Linked DNA regions of Sus scrofa. The protein of the gene in region 1 interacts with the protein of each later gene in a pairwise test. Links are inferred from orthologs where the notes say so. Each region holds a gene or a part of one and is shown on either strand. Other genes may lie near its edges.

What was found. The genes of interacting proteins can lie anywhere in the genome.
Region 2: the proteins of UBE2K (region 1) and SIAH1 interact in binary tests that used the Homo sapiens proteins (3 or more experiments, as listed by UniProt). The link is inferred for Sus scrofa from reciprocal best matches to the Homo sapiens genes UBE2K and SIAH1.
Region 3: the proteins of UBE2K (region 1) and TRIM31 interact in binary tests that used the Homo sapiens proteins (3 or more experiments, as listed by UniProt). The link is inferred for Sus scrofa from reciprocal best matches to the Homo sapiens genes UBE2K and TRIM31.

The regions. Positions count from the first base shown.
Region 1 is NC_010450.4:30,955,707-30,960,896, forward strand, and holds the end of UBE2K (ubiquitin-conjugating enzyme E2 K), read left to right. Parts: intron 1-2,864; coding exon 2,865-2,993; intron 2,994-3,533; coding exon 3,534-3,608; downstream 3,609-5,190. UniProt on the Homo sapiens protein: Accepts ubiquitin from the E1 complex and catalyzes its covalent attachment to other proteins. In vitro, in the presence or in the absence of BRCA1-BARD1 E3 ubiquitin-protein ligase complex, catalyzes the synthesis of 'Lys-48'-linked polyubiquitin chains.
Region 2 is NC_010448.4:36,362,060-36,367,063, forward strand, and holds the end of SIAH1 (E3 ubiquitin-protein ligase SIAH1), read left to right. Parts: intron 1-783; exon of another isoform or gene 784-846; coding exon of another isoform or gene 847-931; intron 932-1,706; coding exon 1,707-2,557; 3' UTR 2,558-3,725; downstream 3,726-5,004. UniProt on the Homo sapiens protein: E3 ubiquitin-protein ligase that mediates ubiquitination and subsequent proteasomal degradation of target proteins.
Region 3 is NC_010449.5:22,667,162-22,672,731, forward strand, and holds part of TRIM31 (E3 ubiquitin-protein ligase TRIM31), read right to left. Parts: intron 4,826-5,570; coding exon 4,774-4,825; intron 4,772-4,773; coding exon of another isoform or gene 4,761-4,771; intron 3,683-4,760; coding exon 3,621-3,682; intron 3,063-3,620; coding exon 2,883-3,062; intron 1,793-2,882; coding exon 1,266-1,792; 3' UTR 1-1,265.

The DNA of each region.
Region 1 (5,190 bases):
CCTTTTAAATATGCATTCCCGGAGTTCCCGTCGTGGCGCAGTGGTTAACGAATCCGACTAGGAACCATGAGGTTGCAGGTTTAGTCCCTGCCCTTGCTCAGTGGGTTACCTATCCGGCGTTGCCGTGAGCTGTGGTGTAGGTTGCAGACGCGTCTTGGATCCCGCGTTGCTGTGGCTCTGGCGTAGGCCGGTGGCTCCAGCTCCGATTCAACCCCTAGCCTGGGAACCTCCATATGCCGCGGGAGCGGCCCAAGAAATAGCAACAACAACAACAACAACAATAACAACAACAACAAAAAAAGACCAAAAAATAAATAAATAAATATGCATTCCCTGTTCTTATATTGCTTCTTTTAGTTTCCACTATGTACTCTTACTTGGATGATCACATCCATATTGATGTTACCCCCTACCTCTATGTTGATGTAATGTTCAAGCTTGACCTCTCTCCTGAGCCCAAGAGCATGTTTGAAACTGAATAGCTCTATATAAATGTTCCATGGATACCTTAGTATATAACATTACTAAAACTGAATGGAGAATCTTTTTTTTTTCCTAATTTTTTAGAATTTTTTTGTCTTTTTGCCTTTTCTAGGGCTGCTCCCGCAGCATATGGAGGTGCCCAGGCTAGGGGTCTAATCGGAGCTGTAGCCACTGACCTACGCCAGAGCCACAGCAACGCAGGATCCAAGCCGCATCTGTGGCCTACACCACAGCTCATGGCAATGCCGGATCCTTAACCCACTGAAGGAGGCCAGGGATGGAACCCACAACCTCATGGTTCCTAGTCAGATTTGTTAACCACTGAAGCCACGATGGGAACTCCCTCAGTGGAGAGTCTTAAACTCTATAAACGTGTCCATCCTTATGTAGTATAATCAGTTTAGTTATATGTCCAAGTCATAGACTTGGAGTACTTCTCAGTTTCTTTTCTCTTGTATTCCAGTATCTGTCATACTACTACTCTGATTTCTTTAGTTCACATGTTTTAAAGGAGTTCCCATTGTGGCTTAGCAGGTTAAGAACCTAACTAGTACCCATGAGGATGCAGGTTGAGTCCCTGGCTTTATTCTGTAGGTTCAGGAACCAGTGTTGCCCCAAGCTTGTGGGTGTGGCTTGGATCTGGCATTGCTGTGGTGGTGGTGTAGGTTAGCAGTTGTGGCTCCGATTTGACTCCTGTCCTGGGAACTTCGATATGCTGTGGGTGCGGCCCTAAAAAGAAAAAAAAAAATTTCTCATTTGCTCTGATGGAGTTCCCTACCTCAGCCTCTTCTTTCCTTCATCTTCTATACTAACAGCAGTTAGCTTTATAAAGTGTAAATCTTATTTCTCTTTATTACTAAAAACCTATTAGTAGCTCTACTGTTACCTACTTGGTAAGTCTAAATTGTTTAGTTTGAAGAGTTCCTCCATGATTTAAATTATCTGTAAACCCAGTTTCACCTCCTGAATTTTTCTTGTACCTGAAACTCATGCTGTTCAAGATGGTGTTCATCCCTACATGTCATTTCACCCGATCTGCCGTGTTTCCTCTGCCTGAGGAGAGCTTTCCTCTTAGAAACTTCTTCCTTTCCTTTGAAAAGCTGTTCACTCTCTGTTTTATGTATATCTTTGTTCATCTGTTCTGCTATTACTTGTTTTTGAGTGCTTAGAATTACAGTTTAACATGTTATTCATTCATTTTTTGATGGAAGAATGACTTCAGCCCTAGCTTCATTTTCTTGTTAAGTTCTGAGCTTCGCAGGTTGGGGTTCGACTCAAAGTTTTTTCCTAGCTGTATTCAATAATTTGACTTATTTCTTTTTTAATAATGGTAGAGACTGGATTTATCATTTTAATATATAATAATATTTTATATAATAATATAAAATATTTTAATTTTTAATATATAATAATATTCAGTGCATATAAAACATCTGAAAAAGAACTTTTTTTTTTTTTTTTGGTCTTTTTGTTGTTGTTGTTGTTGCTATTTCTTGGGCCGCTCCCGCGGCATATGGAGGTTCCCAGGCTAGGGGTTGAATCGGAGCTGGAGCCACCAGCCTACGCCAGAACCACAGCAACGCGGGATCCGAGACACATCTGCAACCTACACCACAGCTCAAGGCAACGCTGGATCGTTAACCCACTGAGCAAGGGCAGGGACCGAACCCGCAACCTCATGGTTCCTAGTCGGATTCGTTAACCACTGCGCCACGACGGGAACTCCTGAAAAAGAACTATTAAAGTGAATTGAACAGTTATTTTAAATTTATACTTTGCTTTATTAAGAAATGGTGGTCCCAGAATATTTGAGAATAAATTTACCTCTTTCCAATGCATATAATAAGTCTTAGCTTTTAAAAAGTACTCTATGATGAGTTCATAAACATCTCAAAACATGTGCTATAAGTTAGGATTTTGCATATGAGATTTTCTTGAGTCACTGTACAACAAACAGCAAAGCCTAGTTCTGTCCTAGCCTGAACTGTGATTAAAACAAAAGTTGGTCACATTTATTAGTTAATTCCACGTAATTTTAGAAGCTAGTAATTCTGGTTAGTTGTATGTTTGCCAGCACAAAGTGATCGGAGACATCTCTAATTACTCCATTTAAGTATTAGTTTTCTGCTCCTTTGTTGAAATTGGACAAAAATTGTCTTTGTTTTTCTTCCACTGATGCAACTTGTGAATCACAGTTTCAGATCAGTCTTTTCTTGAGTGACAGTTTATTTGCAATGGAACATGAATCACTCATATTTTAAATGTCTATTAATTTACATTTTATTTTGAAAAATCAGGTTTTTAGGCGTAAGAGATGAGCTACTATATATTTAATATTATAACTGTATTATCATGTCAATCAATTTTTTTTTCTCATGTAGTACAAACAAAATCCTGAAATGTTCAAACAAACAGCTCGACTTTGGGCACATGTGTATGCTGGAGCACCAGTTTCTAGTCCAGAATACACCAAAAAAATAGAAAACTTATGTGCTATGGGCTTTGATAGGGTAAGTACCATAAACGCATGTTAATTTTTATACATTCCTTAATTTTAACTTATTGCTGCAAATCCTTGGCTGACAAAAAAAGTGTCTCAAAAATAATCTGGAGTTTCCATTGTGGCGCGGTGGAAACAAATCCAACTAGTATCCATGAAGGTGCAGTTTTAATCCCTGGCCTCACTCAGTGGGCTAAGGATCCAGCATTGCTGTGGCTGTGGTGTAGGCCAGCAGCTGTAGCTCCTATTCGACCCATAGCCTGAGAACTTCCATATGACTTGGGTGCACCTCTTTAAAAAGAAAAAACCTCTAAATCTAATTTTGATAAACTAACTTTCTGTTAATAAAAGTAGTGACGTTTCTTTTCCTTTTGCTCATTCCTGTCATTGATTTTAGAAGGTTTTTATGCACTGTAAGTACAAGGCAACTTAAAAATGAAAAAAACAAGTGTGATTTCTCAATCGAAAGACAGTGAGTGATGCAGTACTTTAAAAGTATTTTCTTGAAATTTGATTTTTTTTTTTTTTTGTCCCCTTTTCCTTTCTACAGAATGCGGTAATAGTGGCCTTGTCTTCAAAATCATGGGATGTAGAGACTGCAACAGAATTGCTTCTGAGTAACTGAGACATAGAGCTGCTGATATAGTCAAGCTTGCCCCTTCTTGAGGAGCATCAATATCTGTTATTTTTAGGATTCTGCATAGATATCTTTTAAACTGGCATTCTTGCCTAATGATGTTATCTAGGCACCATTGGAGACTGAAAAAAAAATTTCATGCTCTGTAAATAAAGCTAATTAAACGTCTGTGTAAATTTAAAAAGGGGAAATACTTTTTTTCTTACTTAATAGTGTAAAAATTATTTGAGCTAAGCTAAAACCATGGAAAAAACATGCTACTTTAGTGTTTAGCAGTGTACCAAGACTAAGCAAGAATTTGCTTCAGGATTTCATTGAATAATTAAGATAATATTTTGAGTGTGTCAGGGCCATTCAAATTGTTGGTGTTGCATCACAGCTACCTTAACTGTTTTTTAACATGGATCCTCTGTGCCTGTGAATTTACTTGCATGCTTGTACTTGACTTCTTAGGATGGGTAGCTGAAAAGACCACCATTTTAAGCATTTGAGAATTCTTAAATATGCGTTTTATCCAGAATTGAAGATGGTGACCTATTCAGAGCCTTTTTGTCCTTGTCAATAGACTGGGACACCATATCTATTTTTTCCTTCTTAACCACCCACAGCTAATATTCTAATAGTAAATTTTTCTTTATTTGGTGGGGAAATATGCAGAGGGATAGTATCCCTTGCTCCATTTTTAGGATGTCCATTTGGAATGTTCTGTCACAGATCTTCACTCTTAAAACTTTCCTATGTAAGTAAATAATAATGTAAAAATGGAGCTGCCAGTTTTCTTTCTTTTACAAAAACAGTAAGTACTCGATGTTGCAGTATTTCCAGATTTAATGAAAGAACACAACTTAGTTTTTCAGTGAATTTAACATCTTTCTATTTTTAAACTGATGAAATTTTTCTTTGGTAACTTGCAAGGATGAAATCACCTGTTTGCAGTTTTTTTAAGCCTAATTTTGGCTTTATGGAGATTGCTTTATTGGTTACTTTAAAAGTCACCCTTGCTTGCATTTCCCCCTATTTGACACATGAAAGCTGTGTTGGGTGTTTTACTGTACATACTTCAAATGCACATAGGAATAGAAGTGTGTTATAAATCTAGCTTTCTTTATGATGTTTCTGATAATATTGAGAATTGAAAACTTTACCTTCTCTTGTACATAGTCAGACTTTCTATACGTATTAAAGTTACATTTCATTCTAAGTTCAAAAGTTTGAAAATTATTAGTTTTGCAAGCTCAAACACTAATGTGACCATTTTATGAAGGGTGAAATGGATTTGTGTAGACAGTTCTAAACATAGAAATACAGTTACTAAATATTCAGGACCAATGCGAAATAACAAGAATGTAATGGAATTAGAATGAATTAAAGTAAGGTTGTATATTGAAAGTCATATTATAAAAGGTTTGCTTTTTTCAAGTGTTATTTATCTGAAATTATAATGGTTAAGTGTTTGGAAACAAGTTTTGAACCATAAATTCAGCATAATTTCATTTGACTTCTCATTAATCTTAGAAGCAATAAAAGAACCATTATTAAATATGTTGTAATGTTAAGATGTGAAGGTTCT
Region 2 (5,004 bases), on another chromosome or scaffold:
TTGTTCTGCTAGTGACCTAAAATAAAATGCATAGATCATCATATGCACAAAAAAATCTCCTGGGGAAAACTGGATTACAGGAGAGTTCCTTTATATTGGTCTAGAACACCTGGGTTACACAGGGCTTCAGATGGTAAGAATTGATTCCTGTTGTCTTAAATCCTTGTGATGGGCCACATTATGATAGAATCCTGTGGTACTTTTGTTTCTCCTTGAACTTTAGTCCTTTAGTGACAGTGATCTTTCCGATAGAATAATTACAGTTAGGGAAAATATGAAATCTGAAGAGTTAAATTTTAGTTTGATAGAAATATGGCTTAGGGTTCTTGGGAATATACTCTTAAGGACGTCCGTAGACTGATCTTTTGTCATCCCCAAGAAAATGGCCTACCGTATCCCAGCAAAGGTAGATTCCTGGGAAAAGCTGCTAGTTTATCTTTCATTCACCCTGACACATAGTTAACATTGTTGATCATTTCTTCCAGATGGCATTTATTTCATAAATAGTGTTTATTGGTGTGCTGATGAATGCTTCAGCAACACTGGTGAACTTTAGGGTACGAGGCATTCTTTACCTGTTGACTCTATCCCTCACCTCCACTGTTGTGTGAGTCTCTCTGGTGCTTTTGATCTTTATTTTCTTGACTCTCCTTCACCTTTGCAAATTATACTGGTTTATATTGTAGAATGGAAGTAGAATGATTTACTGTGTCTAAATACTGGACTCAGAACTTTTATGAGAGGATGGCCCTCCATTTCTCTTCTACTTTCTCACTTTTGAAGGGGGCATGGATCAGTAGGAAACAAGATTAATTCCTAGCTGGTGTTAACTTTCCATGAAGATGGATGATGAAGAGGAGGTGGATGGTGGGATGGCAGCAGACCCTTCCCCTTGTCGCCCCTTTCATTCCCCAAATTACTCCTAGAGCAGGTAACCGTTCATCATTAGGAGGAATTAATCAAAGTCAGTACCCTGGTGATCCTTTGGATCACATGTAACTCCCTGGAGCACATGTAACAGCTGACTCAGAATGAGTAGGGGAGGTGGGGGAGAAAGTCCAGTCAAAACTGATTTTATTGCACTTAAGCTCCTTCTTGTTTATGGTCCAGTTTCTATTTTAGCATTTATTCCACGTAGTCCATCCAAGTATGATTTTTAACATTTTTTTTTTTTATTTTTTTTTATTTTTTTGTCTTTTTGTCTGTTGTTGTTGTTGTTGCTATTTCTTGGGCCGCTCCCGCGGCATATGGAGGTTCCCAGGCCAGGGGTTGAATCGGAGCTGTAGCCACCGGCCTACACCAGAGCCACAGCAACGCGGGATCCGAGCCGCGTCTGCAACCTACACCACAGCTCACGGCAACGCCGGATCATTAACCCACTGAGCAAGGGCAGGGACCGAACCCGCGACCTCATGGTTCCTAGTCGGATTCGTCAACCACTGCGCCACGACGGGAACTCCCTTTAACATTTTTTAGAGAAAAGGAATTCTAAATGTGCTCTGGAACCTTTTGAGAAGAGTACAACTCACGTATTTGTGTCAATTTATGTTTTTTTTTTAAAAGCCTTCTTTATTTCCCTGTATTCTCTTGCTCACAGTAAATTTTGCATGAACGCTAAAGTATTGCAGGCACGTAAACAGTATTTATATACAAGTTGTAATTGTTTTTCTCCTGCCTCCTTTTATTTTTACATTTTTTTATTACAGAAATGAGCCGTCAGACTGCAACAGCATTACCTACTGGAACCTCAAAGTGTACACCGTCCCAGAGGGTGCCTGCGCTGACTGGCACAACCGCGTCCAACAATGACTTGGCGAGTCTTTTTGAGTGTCCGGTCTGCTTTGACTATGTGTTACCACCCATTCTTCAGTGTCAGAGTGGCCATCTTGTTTGTAGCAACTGTCGCCCAAAGCTCACATGTTGTCCAACTTGCCGGGGCCCGTTGGGATCCATTCGCAACTTGGCTATGGAGAAAGTGGCCAATTCAGTACTTTTCCCTTGTAAATATGCCTCTTCTGGATGTGAAATAACTCTGCCGCACACAGAAAAAGCAGACCATGAAGAGCTCTGTGAGTTTAGGCCTTATTCCTGTCCGTGCCCTGGTGCTTCCTGTAAATGGCAAGGCTCTTTGGATGCTGTAATGCCGCATCTGATGCATCAGCATAAGTCCATTACAACCCTACAGGGAGAGGATATAGTTTTCCTTGCTACAGACATTAATCTTCCTGGTGCTGTTGACTGGGTGATGATGCAGTCCTGTTTTGGCTTTCACTTCATGTTAGTTTTGGAGAAACAGGAAAAATACGATGGTCACCAGCAATTCTTTGCAATTGTACAGCTGATAGGAACACGCAAGCAAGCTGAAAATTTTGCTTATCGACTTGAGCTAAATGGTCATAGGCGGCGATTGACTTGGGAAGCCACTCCTCGATCTATTCATGAGGGAATTGCAACAGCCATTATGAATAGTGACTGCTTAGTCTTTGACACCAGCATTGCACAGCTTTTTGCAGAAAATGGCAATTTAGGCATCAATGTAACTATTTCCATGTGTTGAAATGGCAATCAAACATCTTCTGGCCAGTGTTTAAAACCGTTGCATTCAGTTTCACAGAGAATAAGGCACCCATCTGCCTACCAAGCTGAAACTTTTGGTAGGTGGAGGCCAAACACATGAAGGTAAATAAAAGGAAAGGCTGTTAAATACAGGAAACAGTTGCATGTAGTAACACTAATATATTTAAAAATAAGTCAACAGTAAACCACTGAAAAAATATATATATATACACCCAAGATGGGCATCTTTTGTATTAAGAAAGGAAGCATTGTAAAATAATTCTGGGAATTTGTGTTTGTTGTAGATTGAGTGTACTGTTGGAAAATACTGAGTTGTGTTTTTTTTTTTTTGCGCGCGCATGCGCGAGCGTATGTGTGTGTGTGAGAGAGAGAGAGAGAGAGAGAGAGAGAGAGAGAGAGAGAGAGAATGAGTGTGTCTGTGAGTTTTTTTTTTTTTTTTTTTTTTCCTTTAACTGACAAGCCATGTTGAGTGGTCTTGGACCACTGCTTTTCCCCTATGTGAGTCAATACATAGTGCTGCTGTGTGTGTATATTTTTGTGTGTGTATTTGCTAATTTTTATTAATTCTAGTTTTTCATTAAATAAATTTGACTTTCTTTTCTGTAATTCAGGTTTTTCCTCACTTTTTTTTGGTACCTTTTTAAAGTTAGTGTCTTTTTGATATGCATAATTGTTTATGGTAAAGTTTATACATACATATGTGTTCAATACATATTTTCCCCCATTAATCAGTTCATTAGAAATATTTTAAATTCAACCATTTTGTGAAGATATGAGCTCCAGAAAGGAAAGGTGACACCTGAAGAATTATCAGAAGCTATTTAAAGCAACTGTAAGATGGTTTTTCTCTCTTTTTCTCCAGTTGAGTCATACCTTCAAACTACTCTTTGAAAGGTTAGGGAATACTGATTTTTTTAAATACTGGAAGAAAAATCAGGCTCACCCCCTCCCCCCCAAATATCTTGGACAAATCACATATGTTTAAAATTCGTTCTTGTATTTATTGGTTTTGCAAAAGAAGGCATCGTCTTACACAGTATTTGTAATTAAAAGCAAATCATTTGTTTTAAAAAAAAGGCAGTTTGCAAAAAAAAATGTTTTTGGTCTTTTATAATTCTCATTAAAAGAATATCTGGCAAATTAAAAAACTCTTATGTGTCTGCTTTTAGCTCTATTAGAGTTTGATTAAAATCCAAAGTTATTTTCCTGTTCAAAGCAATGTGCTGTATTTTGAAGTTTGGTAGATAAGAGATCTGTTTTAAAGTCCAGCCAAAACAAAGGGTATATGGCCTCTGTACCACATGGAGTCTTATTTTTTTCCTTCCCCTTGCTTACATTTTGATTCTCAGAACTCAGTTAGGAGGCTGGTTAGTTAAATTGCTATCACTTTTTCCCCCTTTAACAACACCAAGAAAAAAATTATTTCATGCTGTAGTGGTTGTGTGCCTGGGCTCTGCAGCCAGCCTTCCAGGGAGCTATGTGCTTATGCTAACTAGACCTCACTTGGGCTCCAGTTGCCTAGTGTATAGAATGGGGTTGATTATGGTAGCTACTGCTCAGGGTTCATTGGGGGTGGATGCAAGTTACCTAGAAGAGTGCTCTGCATGTAATAAGCACCCAGCAAATGTTAGCTGCCATTATTATACCTGTAACTAGCACCAAAGAGTTAACTATTGCTCGTTACCCTGAAGCACCTAGTAAGACTCTGAAATTGCCTTCTGACTGGCCAGAGATCATTTTATTTCGTGTGGTTTTTATGGGTACCCTAAACATAGAAAGTCAGTTAAAACTAATTTGGACTTCCCCCTTACCCTGCTACCAATTCTGGATAACACGGTTTACTTCTGTTAACCATTTTCAGGAAAGAAGTTTGTTAGTTTCTTTTCTTTTCCTTAATGCAGGCATTATTTTTGGAATTGGTTATAATTTGTGTTTGCATGGCTATTTTTGTGGTGAAAGGAACAGGTCAACCACCAGTATATGTCCAGGTCTATTGCTGTTAACACGTGTTTTTTAGAAAAGCAGTTTTTCCTCATTTAATATACTGAATATTTTTTGTGGAGGTATACCATTTTTAAAATACAAAATGTTTGGTTAAAAGTGTAGGGTATTCAGTATGTGTTCAGCACTATGTATGTTCAGTATATAGACTCTGGCACACAGAATAGTTGGTAATCTTACTCAGAGATTACTATGAACATTTTCATTTTTCTAGTCCTTTATGTGTACTCACGTGTTGATACACATTTATTTTGAAATCATAGAATGTGGGATCATGTGATTATTTAACTCCCTTACACTCCCACACATAACATGATCATCTAAGCATTTCACCACTTTAATAATTTTGGAAAAGTATCATTTTGGATAACTTTGAGGATTGACTATAATTGTAGCCAGTTTCCCAATATTGGATATTTGCTTTGT
Region 3 (5,570 bases), on another chromosome or scaffold:
TCACAGCTCAGCAGTTAAAGAACCTGGCTAGGATCCATGAGGATGTGGATTTGATCCCTGGCCTTCTCAGTGGGTTAAGGATCCAGCGTTGCCTTGAGCTGTGGCAGATGCGGCTCACATCCGCTCTGATTAGACCGCTAGCCTGGGAACTTACAGGGGTGTGCCCCCCCCTCGAAAAAAGCAAAAAAAGATAAAAAAATAAAAGACTCTCATTCCTTCCACCCGGTTTTCCTTTCTCCCCTTGGGTAACTGTTTTTGTTAGGTTTTGGTTTATCCTCCTACTTAAAAAACAAGTATAGGCAAAAAAGGTATATGTACATTTCCCTTTTCTTAGGTAAAATGTAGCATACTGTGGGCACTGCTGTCTACCTTGCTTTTTTCACTTATGTCCTAGACATCATCCTGTAATAATACATAGAGAGTCTTCATTTGCAAAGTGGGTAGAAGGCAAGAGGGCAGGCCAGGCTGAACTGCCTGGGGAGACAATATCCATGGTCCAGCATGATATATGCCAGGAGTGGGATTGCAGGGTCATTTGGTAGTTTTATAGTTTGTTTCTTTAAGGAACCTCCATACTGCTATTCATAGTAGATGCACCAGTTTACATTCCCACCAACAGTGTAAAGGGTCCCCTTTTCTCCAGCATTTATTGTTTGTAGACTTTTTGATGATGGCCACTCTGACTGGTGTGAGGTGGTACCTCATTGTAGCTTTGACTTGCATTTCTCTAATAATTAGTGATGTCAAGCATCTTTCCGTGGTTTTTGGCCATCGGCATCCCGTTTTTCAGATCCCACGATAATGCCCAGATGGGCCAAGCCCATACACACACCCAGGAGCTTCTGGGAATGAAGTGGAGGAGGAGACAGCTGCCCCAAAGTCAGTTGTCCCGTCCCCTGTATCTGCATCTCAACCAGGATGCAGCTGGATGCTTTCTCTGTGCAGTTTTCAACCATCCCCTAGTGACTTACATTTGAGTTGTTTGCAGTCTTGTCCTGTTACAAAAGTGCTACAATAAATAGTCTTGTGTGGAGTTTTGTCGTGTATTTGAAACTTTCTTTTCAACCTAGGCATGTTGGGGGGAAAGGGGGACTGAAAGACCAAAGGAAAATTTAAAGCGGGATCAGAGGCAACAGGCCTGGATTAGGGAGCATGAAGTATGCAAAGGGCTCCTGGAAGTCTAGCTTCAACCCTACATACCAGCTACAGCGCATCCCAAAGCGAGGGGGTAACGGGGAGGAGACCGAGAGGAAGGCAAAAGAACTCTAGGGACTCAGGGTGATCTGGGTGCCCGGAAAAAGAAGCCGGAAAAAGGGTAAGACCTGCCCTGGAAAGGAGGTGTGGAAGGTGTAGATGCGGCTGCTTGTGATGGAGTCGTAGAAGACGACTTCTCCGCCCTCGTGATTCACGTGGATCCCCACTTTCCTGGGACGGACTGAGAGTTCCTCCCGGGTGCCACCCTCGGTGAGCGCCTGGCAGTCGAAACCCACAATGCGCAGCACCCAGAAGCCAGTCAAGGGTTCGATCATCAGGGGGCCCCTCCGCGTTACCAGCTCCGAGGCCACGCCCACCAAGCAGCCCCCGCCTTCAGGCCCTTCAAGCTCCGCCTCCCAGGTCTGGCAGCCCGAGGAGAGGCCTGGCAAGCCCAGAACACAGCGGAATGGATGGAAGCGAGCAGGGTCAGTGGGTTCAGCACAGCGACTTTGAGGAACAGGGTCCAGCGTCACTGTCTTCAGATCCTGGGAAATGATGAGGTCCGGATGAGCCGAGGCCGCATCCAGGGTCACTGGGGCTGCGGGAAGATGAGGAGGGTGGTAGCCTCTTTCCGGGGTGCTAGCCCCAGGTCAAGTCCTCCAGACCCCTACCTCTTAGTTTCCCCTGAGGATGACTTTCTCTTCAAAGTCAAGGTCCTCTTTGTCCCCAGAGAAGTCCTAGCCCCTTCCCCCTCCTTGAAGTTAATCCTTAAATTTCATCATGTGCTGCTCTGTGGGTGCTCTCCACTGCTGGTCACAAGGCATCATTTCTACACCCAAAGCAAGACTATTTCCTCTTCCTTCCCCATCTCCTGTGGTCCTCATATCCAGAACAAGATCTGAACTTATATAAAAGATGTCAAGGCTCAGACTGTGCTGGAGTAATTTTCTAAAGTGCAGCCCCTCAAAGACAGGGATGAATGGAGGGGTGGGGTACGGAGGGAGAAAGTTAGCTCTCATCTCACCACACAGGCACAATTTTCATTGAATTTGGACATTGAGTTATCATTGAGTTATAGGTTATCAAGGCCAGAAGTCCTCCATCCACCCCCCACCCCCCCGCAATGGCTTGAATAGCCGTGGTTCCAGACTTTGCCACGGACTTAGGAACGAGAGACTCATGGTATCTCCTGATTTGCTATCTAATCTCACACCCTTGTACTGTAATATTACTTAGTTTTCCCTTGCTGGAAGGAGGGTGGGGATTGGGAGGGATGGAGGATGTAGGAATGTGGGGAAGAGGAGAAAGAGTGTCTAGGTACATGGGGATGAGTAAGGTAGATTGTGACCTAAGCAGTTCTTACTGGTCTCTTAGATTCCAATCTGACTGAACTGATGCCTAGGTAAATAATTTAAATTAAAAAAAAAAAAAAAAAAAAAGACCTGAGCAATCAACTGTAGTGACACTCTTCATCCACAAGGGGCACCAGAGCCAAAGCAATAAGCAGAAGCCACGCGCTGACGCTACCCGATTGCCCTTTTTCTGCTCAAGTACACCCGCTCCCTTCTCCAAGTGTCACCACCATCACCCGTCTCTGTTCTCAGTAGCCCGGGGCCTCTCTCCCACCTTCCACTCCCTCAGCCCCACTCCACGCAGTCAGGGACTCTTGATTGCTCTCAGCCACTCACTCAGCGCCGCCTTGAGCTCTTCAGTCCACGCAGCTCCAGGGCTTCCCGGGTCTTCAGAGCTGTCTTCGTTTGAATAGAAAACAAATGAGGCAATAGAGGCCCGGCTTCGGCTCCGGAACAGGTTGGGCAGTGAAGGTGATAGTTTGAGCTTTGGCGGTAGTGGTTTAGCGTTTCTGTCATCTTTAAGGAGAAGGAGAGGAGAAAAAAAGAGGTCGATGGGAGCAAGGCAGCAATCATTGTCCATGGCCTGAAGCCACGGACTAACAGAAATTTTTGAGCTTGTCTTACCTCAATGTTTAAGGGTACAGCTTGTTAAAATCCCTCTGCATATAAACTGCCTTTACTTATTAAGTTCATTTTAGTTATCTTTTCCCTCTCTTTAATTGCATACTCTCCAAGCTTCATGTAGCCTATGTAATATATCACGAGCATTAACCAGCGATAGATCAAACCTCTGACATACGGGTCACTTTTTTGGTCTTTTTAAGGCCACTCCCAAGGCATATATGGAGGTTCTCAGACTAGGGGTCAAATCAGAGCTACAGCTGCTGGCCTGCACCACAGCCACCCAACACCAACGTGGGATCCAAGCCGAAGTTGCAACCTATGCCACAGCTCACAGCAACACTGGATCCTTAACCCACCGGGCAAGGTCAGAGATCGAACCTGCATCCTCTTGGATGCTAGTCAGATTCGTTTCTACTGAGCCACGTTGGGAACTCCTGACATATGGGTTACTTTGGTAGTGGGGGCTTAAGTTGCTTTTTAGGAACTTGGTGTCAGCTCTTGTCCTGTTCCGGCTGGCTAAGGCAGGTTGGGACCAGCAGTGCTAAAACTGGGCTTGTGCAGGAGTCTGATGAACAACTTTTCGCATCAGAGGTTCAAAATGATACCCTCAGATTATGCTAAGCAGCTTCATTTTTGAAAGTGTATCCACAAAGAAGACTGTAACCTGGATCCACCTGCCCAAACAGAGGGGAAGGGGACTCCGCCTTTCCCATGCCTCAGGCCACCTTGTTTCATTATCTCAGAAGAAAATTGAGGCTCTTTCCTTCAAGGAGTGGGTCTCCCACCTCCTCCCTTGGCGGCTTTGTGAATAAACCTTCTCTGCTTCAAACCTCAGCATCTCAGTATTTGGCTTGCTGCGCATCAGGCAAACAAACCTGGTTTGGTAACAAAAGTACACCCGAACAAGTTAGGGGTAAACTGATTGAATGGCACAGTATTTCCTGGGGCGGGGGTGTCCCACTCTGGGAAGGGGGAGGGGAGATGGATGAAATGCCTGCTATCTCCACCCCCATATGCCCATGCTGTCCTAGCTCTTAGCATCTGAAACCTTCAAGAACATTCAACTCCACTGCCCTTCTTCCTCTCCCAACTCCCAGGCCCTCTTAACAGTCTCTCTAAGTCCCTCTTTTCTTTTTATTTCTTTTTAGGGCCGCATCTGCGGCATTTGGGGTCGAATCAGAGCTGCCTACATCACAGCCACAGCAATGCCAGATCCAAGCCTAATCTGAGACCTACACCACAGCTCACAGCAATGCTGGATCCCCTGATCGAGGCCAGGGATTGAATCCGCATCCTCATGGATACTAGTCAGTTTGTTACCCGCTGAACCACAATGGGAACTCCCTCTAAACCTCTTTTTCTGCTCTGTCCCTATACCCCTCCAACCCAGGCTGGAACTGAGAGCAGCTCTTCATCCCCACCTAACTCCAGTCAGGGAGGGTGATGCTGTGTGTTGGGAAGTCCTTGTACAGTTGCTCACCATCCTTCCTATGCGGTGTCAGTTCAGTGCATTCCTATCTGTGCGTTTGGACTCCAGCTTTCCTGACTACACCACCTGAAGCCACCAGTGCTCAGAGGCTGGGCTCCTACCTGAAGGGCTTACTCAGGCTCCAAAGTTTCCATCGGTGTAGGATTGCTTTTCTCTAACAGGTACCCTAGGAATGGGGAGAGAAAACCAACTTTGGTCTCGATAACCAGAAACTTGCAAAATCCAAAACCAAACACCTGCCGCCATCAATAAGAACACGCATCAGTGGTTCTCAGTGGAGACTGCCCCCTTCCCCCCCCCCGTCCCCACCCATGGGGAAGTGTGGGAACCATTCAGATGGTCCTAGTAATGGCAGAGGGTGGGAGTGGGGGGGGCGATTCCCTACTGGCCTAGAGTGTTTCCGGGGGCCTGGACGGGACACACTCCACAGCACACCAGGCAGAGAGCACAGTGGGGACTTAACCTCTGCAAACACCAATAGCTCCTGTCATGGAGAACTGGGGGAGGAAGAGGACCGCGCTCCCTGGCTTTGGAAGGCATTATGTGGTTTCTGGTGTTGGCAAAATGTGTTCCAAGATTGTCTTTTTCAATTAGTAGTCACATGACTTGGGTAACTTAGCGCAGCTCCCTGGACTGGCAGGGAACTTACTGTAAATTGCTGATAATGACACGCATCCTTGGAGAAGAGCTGTGGGATTTTTGAACTGTTAGCTGTGGGGTGCTTAGCACACGTGGGCCTTTAAGAAAGGGTACTTCTAGTGTTACCTCTCGTGGGGCAGAGCCATCTCTGATGACTTTGGCCTCGGCTGCTGTTACAGTGGGGCTCCATCCCCTGAGCTGTCCCAGCCTTACAACCAGAAACACAGCCTACGGCTGGGGGCAGCGAATACTACAGAGATTGAGCTGCTTTT